Xenopus tropicalis: one gene and its partner. The protein of the gene in region 1 interacts with the protein of each later gene in a pairwise test. Links are inferred from orthologs where the notes say so. Each region holds a gene or a part of one and is shown in the gene's direction. Other genes may lie near its edges.

Region 1 (3,652 bases):
TATATCCATCATTGGGGGGGGGGGGAATGGCTGAGTATATCCATCATTGGGGGGGGTAAATGGCTGAGTATATCCATCATTGGGGGGGGGGGGGGGGGGGGAATGGCTGAGTATATCCCATCATTGGGGGGGGGAGGGGAATGGCTGAGTATATCCATCATTGGGGGGGGGAGGGGAATGGCTGAGTATATCCATCATTGGGGGGGGGAGGGGAATGGCTGAGTATTTCCATCATTGGGGGGGGGAATGGCTGAGTATATCCATCATTGGGGGGGGGGGGGGGGGGAATGGCTGAGTATATCCATCATTGGGGGGGGGGAGGGGAATGGCTGAGTATATCCATCATTGGGGGGGGAATGGCTGAGTATATCCATCATTGGGGGGGAATGGCTGAGTATATCCATCATTGGGGGGGAATGGCTGAGTATATCCATCATTGGGGGGGGGGGGGGGAATGGCTGAGTATATCCATCATTGGGGGGGGGGGGGGGGAATGGCTGAGTATATCCATCATTGGGGGGGAATGGCTGAGTATATCCATCATTGGGGGGGGGGAATGGCTGAGTATATCCATCATTGGGGGGGGGAGGGGAATGGCTGAGTATATCCATCATTGGGGGGGAATGGCTGAGTATATCCATCATTGGGGGGGGGAATGGCTGAGTATATCCATCATTGGGGGGGAATGGCTGAGTATATCCATCATTGGGGGGGAATGGCTGAGTATATCCATCATTGGGGGGGGGGGGAATGGCTGAGTATATCCATCATTGGGGGGGGGGGTAAATGGCTGAGTATATCCATCATTGGGGGGGGGGGGGGGAATGGCTGAGTATATCCATCATTGGGGGGGGGGGGAATGGCTGAGTATATCCATCATTGGGGGGGGGGGGTAAATGGCTGAGTATATCCATCATTGGGGGGGGGGGGGGAATGGCTGAGTATATCCATCATTGGGGGGGGGGGGAATGGCTGAGTATATCCATCATTGGGGGGGGGGAGGGGAATGGCTGAGTATATCCATCATTGGGGGGGGAATGGCTGAGTATATCCATCATTGGGGGGGGAATGGCTGAGTATATCCATCATTGGGGGGGGGGGAATGGCTGAGTATATCCATCATTGGGGGGGGGGGTAAATGGCTGAGTATATCCATCATTGGGGGGGGGGAATGGCTGAGTATATCCATCATTGGGGGAGGGGAATGGCTGAGTATATCCATCATTGGGGGGGGGGAATGGCTGAGTATATCCATCATTGGGGGGGGGGGGAATGGCTGAGTATATCCATCATTGGGGGGGGGGGGGAATGGCTGAGTATATCCATCATTGGGGGGGGGGGAATGGCTGAGTATATCCATCATTGGGGGGGGGGGGGGGGGAATGGCTGAGTATATCCATCATTGGGGGGGAATGGCTGAGTATATCCATCATTGGGGGGGGGGGGGGGAATGGCTGAGTATATCCATCATTGGGGGGGGGAATGGCTGAGTATATCCATCATTGGGGGGGGGGGGGGAATGGCTGAGTATATCCATCATTGGGGGGGGGGAATGGCTGAGTATATCCATCATTGGGGGGGGGGGGAATGGCTGAGTATATCCATCATTGGGGGGGGGGGGGGAATGGCTGAGTATATCCATCATTGGGGGGGGGGGGGGGGAATGGCTGAGTATATCCATCAATGGGGGGGGGGGGGGAATGGCTGAGTATATCCATCATTGGGGGGGGGGGGGTAAATGGCTGAGTATATCCTTCATTGGGGGGGGGGTAAATGGCTGAGTATATCCATCATTGGGGGGGGGGGAATGGCTGAGTATATCCATCATTGGGGGGGGGGGGAATGGCTGAGTATATCCATCATTGGGGGGGGGGGGGGGGAATGGCTGAGTATATCCATCATTGGGGGGGGGGGGGAATGACTGAGTATATCCATCATTGGGGGGGGGGGGGAATGGCTGAGTATATCCATCATTGGGGGGGGGGGGAATGGCTGAGTATATCCATCATTGGGGGGGGGGGGGAATGGCTGAGTATATCCATCATTGGGGGGGGTAAATGGCTGAGTATATCCATCATTGGGGGGGGGGGGGGGGGGGGGGAATGGCTGAGTATATCCATCATTGGGGGGGGGGGGGGGGGAATGGCTGAGTATATCCATCATTGGGGGGGGGAGGGGAATGGCTGAGTATATCCATCATTGGGGGGGGGAGGGGAATGGCTGAGTATATCCATCATTGGGGGGGGAGGGGAATGGCTGAGTATATCCATCATTGGGGGGGGAATGGCTGAGTATATCCATCATTGGGGGGAATGGCTGAGTATATCCATCATTGGGGGGGGGGGGGGGGGGGGAATGGCTGAGTATATCCATCATTGGGGGGGGGGGGGGGAATGGCTGAGTATATCCATCATTGGGGGGGGGGGGGTAAATGGCTGAGTATATCCTTCATTGGGGGGGGGGGGTAAATGGCTGAGTATATCCATCATTGGGGGGGGGGGGGGGAATGGCTGAGTATATCCATCATTGGGGGGGGGGGGAATGGCTGAGTATATCCATCATTGGGGGGGGGGGGAATGGCTGAGTATATCCATCATTGGGGGGGGGGGAATGGCTGAGTATATCCATCATTGGGGGGGGGGGGGGGGGGAATGGCTGAGTATATCCATCATTGGGGGGGGAATGGCTGAGTATATCCATCATTGGGGGGGGGAATGGCTGAGTATATCCATCATTGGGGGGGGGGAATGGCTGAGTATATCCATCATTGGGGGGGGGGAATGGCTGAGTATATCCATCATTGGGGGGGGGGGGGGAATGGCTGAGTATATCCATCATTGGGGGGGGGGGGGGGGAATGGCTGAGTATATCCATCATTGGGAGGGAATGGCTGAGTATATCCATCATTGGGAGGGAATGGCTGAGTATATCCATCATTGGGGGGGGGGGGAATGGCTGAGTATATCCAGCATTGGGGGGGGGGGAATGGCTGAGTATATCCAGCATTGGGGGGGGAGGGGGGGAATGGCTGAGTATACATATAAGGTGCTTTACATTAATTGTCTCTTTGCCCCCCCTGCCCGTTAGAGTAAAGTGGGATGGAGCCGACACAGATGGGAGCCGGGAGGCAGAACCCTGTACAGATGGAGCTCAGAACCAAGTGAGGAAACGACACTGGCAGAAATCTGAGGATGAATGTGCTTCTGGGCGCAAAGCAAAGAAAGCGAGGCGCAGCTGTACCCCAATAACCCCAGCGGGCCCCGAGCCTGGGATACGAGAGAAGAAAGCGAGGCGCAGCTGTACCCCAATAACCCCAGCGGGCCCCGAGCCTGGGCCCAGAGACAAGGGAAGTACCAGTGGCTCAGAGGAACTCCTGGAGGGCGAGAAGAAAATGCGCAGAGGGAAAAAAGCAAAGAAAAAACCGAAAGCTTTAGTAGAAACCCCCCCTGCCAAACGTAGCAGGAAGCGCCCCCAACAAACTATAAATACACAGAGACACACCCCCAGCAATGACTCCTCTGGCACCACCTCCTGCAGTGATCAGCCCCCCCCCCCTGCCCAACACAAACCCCCCTCATCTGCAAAAGGGCAGCGCCAAGCCAGTGCCAGGGGATCCGTGTCTGTGCCCCCCAGGGCTGTGAATGGAATCTCT
Region 2 (4,224 bases), on another chromosome or scaffold:
GAAAATGAACTCCTACTTGGGGCAGGCGGTAATTATAGAAAAGTACAGTTCATGAGCTTTTGGCAACACAATATGGATCCAGAAGAATAGTCAAAACAGGCAAAGGTCGGTTCAGGCAGCAATACAGGAATAGTCAGGAACAGGCAGGTGTCAGAACACAGCAAAACAGTACAATGAACGCACGCAGGAACTTTCAGGAAGTAGACCTATGAATGAATGCAGGGCAGTAAGCGCTTGAAATATTTGAATTTTGCACCAAAATGATTGCACGCGCGGGGCCGGACGAAAGAAGGCATGCATGCGTGTCAAAAATGAAATGGGCGTGCCTAACATACATTGCCACTTTGCAGATCCATTTGACAAAATTGGAAAACTGGGCAGCAAAATGGAAAATGAGGTTCAGTGTTGAAAAGTGCAAAGGTATGAACTGTGGAAAGCCCTTCCTAGTGATGTTGTGATGGTAATCTGAAGCAATATGAACCCACCCTTCTACCATTGCAATCTGCAGCATATTAACATTGTTTATATGTATACTGCCCCCCCCCCCAAAAAAAAAAAAAGCTCTGGCAACATAGTGCAGTCTACTCCAGAAGCAATGTCTTGTGGTCGACTTTACCAATCCAAGTGTAACCTCCATTGTGGAATGTACAATACACATATCTCAAGAGTTTCAGCAAAAATCTGGACATTTAAGGCCGTGTCCCCAGTAAACTTGTGTTCTTGTGTTATTTTTTGGCGAACTGTACATCACTCTTTGTACACTTTCAGTTGCAATATTACAGCAGTCATTTGTAACAGAGCTTTTTAGATATTTAGAAGAACAGTACCATAGTCAATTACTGCACTTCAAATGTTTTAGTTGTTTGCTGTGTCATTATTTTGAGCTTGTCCAAAGTTTGTAATATAAATACTGGAAAATGGAAATCTATTATCCAGAATGTTACAAAATACAGGAAGACCATCTTCCATAGACTCAATTATAAGCAAATAATTATAATTTCAAGAAATGATTTCATTTTCTTCTCTAATAATAAAACAATACCTTGTATTATTACAAGGTATAATTGTATAATTAATCCTTATTAGAGACAAAAAAACAATCCTATTGGGTTTAAGTAATTAATGTTAATAATTTTTCTGGTAGACCCCTTCTCTGGAAAAACCTCAGTTCCTGAGCATTCTGGAAACATGTCCCATATCTGTATATTTAAAATGTATATATGATATATAGTAGGTTTATCTGTAACTCAACTTTGAGTCATTTTGTTTCTCCTATCAATTTATTTACAGATTCAGCTTGAAGCTTAACACTCAGCCAGAATGAGTAACTACAGTGTGTCTCTGGTTGGCCCAGCTCCCTGGGGTTTCAGGCTGCAAGGAGGCAAAGACTTCAACATGCCTCTAACGATCTCCCGGGTAAGCATTTATCTATGCCAGTTCTTTTTCTGATAGCAGTGTACGTCAGACATTACTTTGCTTTTAAAGACAGAGCCTTGTGCCTGTCTGTTAAATAAGTGTATTAGGTATTAATAGAGTTGCCATTTGACCCCTGCAAATAAGTAGATATATTTTCAAATGTTCTAAATATGTTTATAAATGTAATTGTTATAAATTAAAAAAAAATAATACAGTAGATCATTTAACAATTTATTTTGTGTAAACTACAAAAATCATGGCTGAATTTAGAACTCAGATCATCAAGAAATGAAATGCTTCATGTATGTGCCAAGCATCAATATTTGCTACTATCTCGCGTTTCTGTAGAAAATAGGTAATTTTCATCCTATCTGTCATACTGTGGTTGCAACTCTGCACCTTTGTTCTTTACATAATAATTTACAGTTCTGAGGACAATAGAGAATGCTCTTTATTGATCTGAAAAACAAAGAGGCGCTTACAGCTGCCAAACATTTTTGGAGTCTGCATAATGAATTGGCTTGCACATGTACAGTTTTTCTCTTTTTTTCTATTAGTACGGCCCTGATTTACAAAGTGTATATTTAAATTACTTTGTTTGATCAAAGGTAGTTTTAGTAAAATTTGTTGAAACAGAGTATGCAGTTTTCAGCCAACACCACTGTATGTGGGCCCCTATGATCCATTTATTTTCAAGAAATGTATAATCTGGGCCAATTTTTTGTACACTTCTTGCATGGTTTAATTAGTCACAGATACAGACATCCTACCTCTTGGTATTTATATACATAAAGGAACTATGTTCTTATGGTTGAGTATAAGTGAATTTAGCTGGAGGTCATGCTGAAAATCCTAAATTATTCAAAAATGATCATATCTTTGCTGAAAATTTCACTTTATAGCAGTATGGATTCCTACGTTAATTTTAAAAATACAGCCTGGCATAGTCTTGTCAACAACATTTCCATTATGAGCTGTGTCTGACCTGCTGCCTTAGATTCCCAGCAAAAGAGATAGCAGACAGAACAAAATCTTTGCTCTATCACTGTACTCTCTGTCAATTGCTGTACAAGATACATGGTATCTTCAGTTAAGATGAAGTGCTGCTGTGCTGATGAGAGGAGCAAATGCTGATTATGGGCAATTGCATTGGATTAGATTTGAGCTGTAGGACTTGTTCTGGGCAATAAGATGATATTTGGCAGCCTCGGTTTGTTATACAAAAAATGTAATATGAGTTTTGTTAAGTACCTTTATGAAAATGAATTTATGTAACTTCTTAAAAAAAATGAATGTTGATAGAGTTTATGTCGACATTTTGTGTGTCACTCAACTTGTGTTGTTATATAGTTATGCAACTCATGCCCTAAAAATTGCAGGAAAAAAGTGCTAAAGATGTAGTGTAGCTATGGTTACTGTTAACTTGTATAGCCACTATTCCAGTTTTATTATCAGTGAGTAAAAATTCCTAGTTGAATGGCATTGTATTGTTAGCATTTACTTTGAAAGAGGCTTTACTGGAACTTTCGGCTTCTGTATAATTTTTCTGTATTATGCTGCCTTTGAGTATTTTCCTTTCTCTGACTGCTATACTATACATTATTATATATTCTGTAGTTTCCTCTGTTAAAAACATCAGTTCACCCATAAAAAAAAATCCTTGCATTAGGATGAATACAGGTAGCCATTTGATAGAGTAAGATTACTAGATTAAATAGACTGGAAATGTAATTCTCTATGATAAAAAATTAAATCAAAAAGCAATACCATTCCAGTGGAAGTCAGTAGCTCCCCTCTTTAGGTTTTTGGAAGAAGTTAGTGAACAATTCCCTCCCTAAGCAAGTTGTATACTTGACACATGCAGCGATTTGGGGATCCTACCATCAACCCTCTGGGCCATTAAGGCTGTTACCACCTAGTTAAGTTTCTAACTGATTGGGCTCACCTTCTCCATTACTTTTATTTTCTGTTTCTCTACTGTTTTAGTACTATATTTCCTCATCTGGTAACTGCTGCTTGCCCCTTTTAGATTTCCAGTGGCACACTGGATAGCATATTTCATTATTTTCAGGATGGATCCTGAGGCTTAATGGGTTAACAGGCTGTATAATAATGCATCTGAGAAATGTTTTCTTATTCGTGTAGTCTCATAGGCTTGTTTAGTTTGTCATAATCTGGCTCCCATGAGGGCTAAGGGCTGGATTTTTCATGTGCAGACACAGTGGGTGTAGGAAGGAGAGGAAATCAGTGGGAACCTGCACAGTAACAGGAAGGATGATAAACTAAAGCTGGTTCAGAATAGAAACCAGTGGCAGAAGGCACAAAAAAATGTAACCTTTGTAATAATTAGTCTGAAAAGCTATGAACTGTATTTCATCCTTTAACAGTCTCATGACTTTGAGGGTTTGATGTTTGGATCGACTGAATAGTATTTATTAATAACTATGGACTTGGGGGCAATAGTAGAAGATAAAAACAGACCTGCAAGTGACGTGAAAGCTGATCTTTTAATGTCATCTATACTCTCTAGTCACCAGATTAAATCATCTAAATTATCTAAATGATACAATAACAGGATTCAAAAAGGAAACCTCTCCAAGCCAGAATAAATCGTATTAGATTTGTTTTGGCTGCTTTAAACATTCAAAGGGCTTGCTGCTATGGCATGTTAAATTATAGCTTTAATAATTCACATTAGACCACACTGTAGACATTTTTTTTATGTAGTTAAATGCAAAGCCTGTTTTTGTTAAATTACTAGTGGGTGCTTAAAAGTTAGGCACCCCTCATTTATTATAATAGCTTACC

The links.
Region 2: the proteins of coil (region 1) and pdlim5 interact in binary tests that used the Homo sapiens proteins (3 or more experiments, as listed by UniProt). The two-hybrid records come from large-scale screens. The link is inferred for Xenopus tropicalis from reciprocal best matches to the Homo sapiens genes COIL and PDLIM5.

The regions. Positions count from the first base shown.
Region 1 is NC_030686.2:52,249,595-52,253,246, forward strand, and holds part of coil (coilin), read left to right. Parts: intron 1-3,087; coding exon 3,088-3,652. UniProt on the Homo sapiens protein: Component of nuclear coiled bodies, also known as Cajal bodies or CBs, which are involved in the modification and assembly of nucleoplasmic snRNPs.
Region 2 is NC_030677.2:76,504,592-76,508,815, reverse strand, and holds the start of pdlim5 (PDZ and LIM domain protein 5), read left to right. Parts: upstream 1-1,297; 5' UTR 1,298-1,320; coding exon 1,321-1,416; intron 1,417-4,224. UniProt on the Homo sapiens protein: May play an important role in the heart development by scaffolding PKC to the Z-disk region. May play a role in the regulation of cardiomyocyte expansion. Isoforms lacking the LIM domains may negatively modulate the scaffolding activity of isoform 1.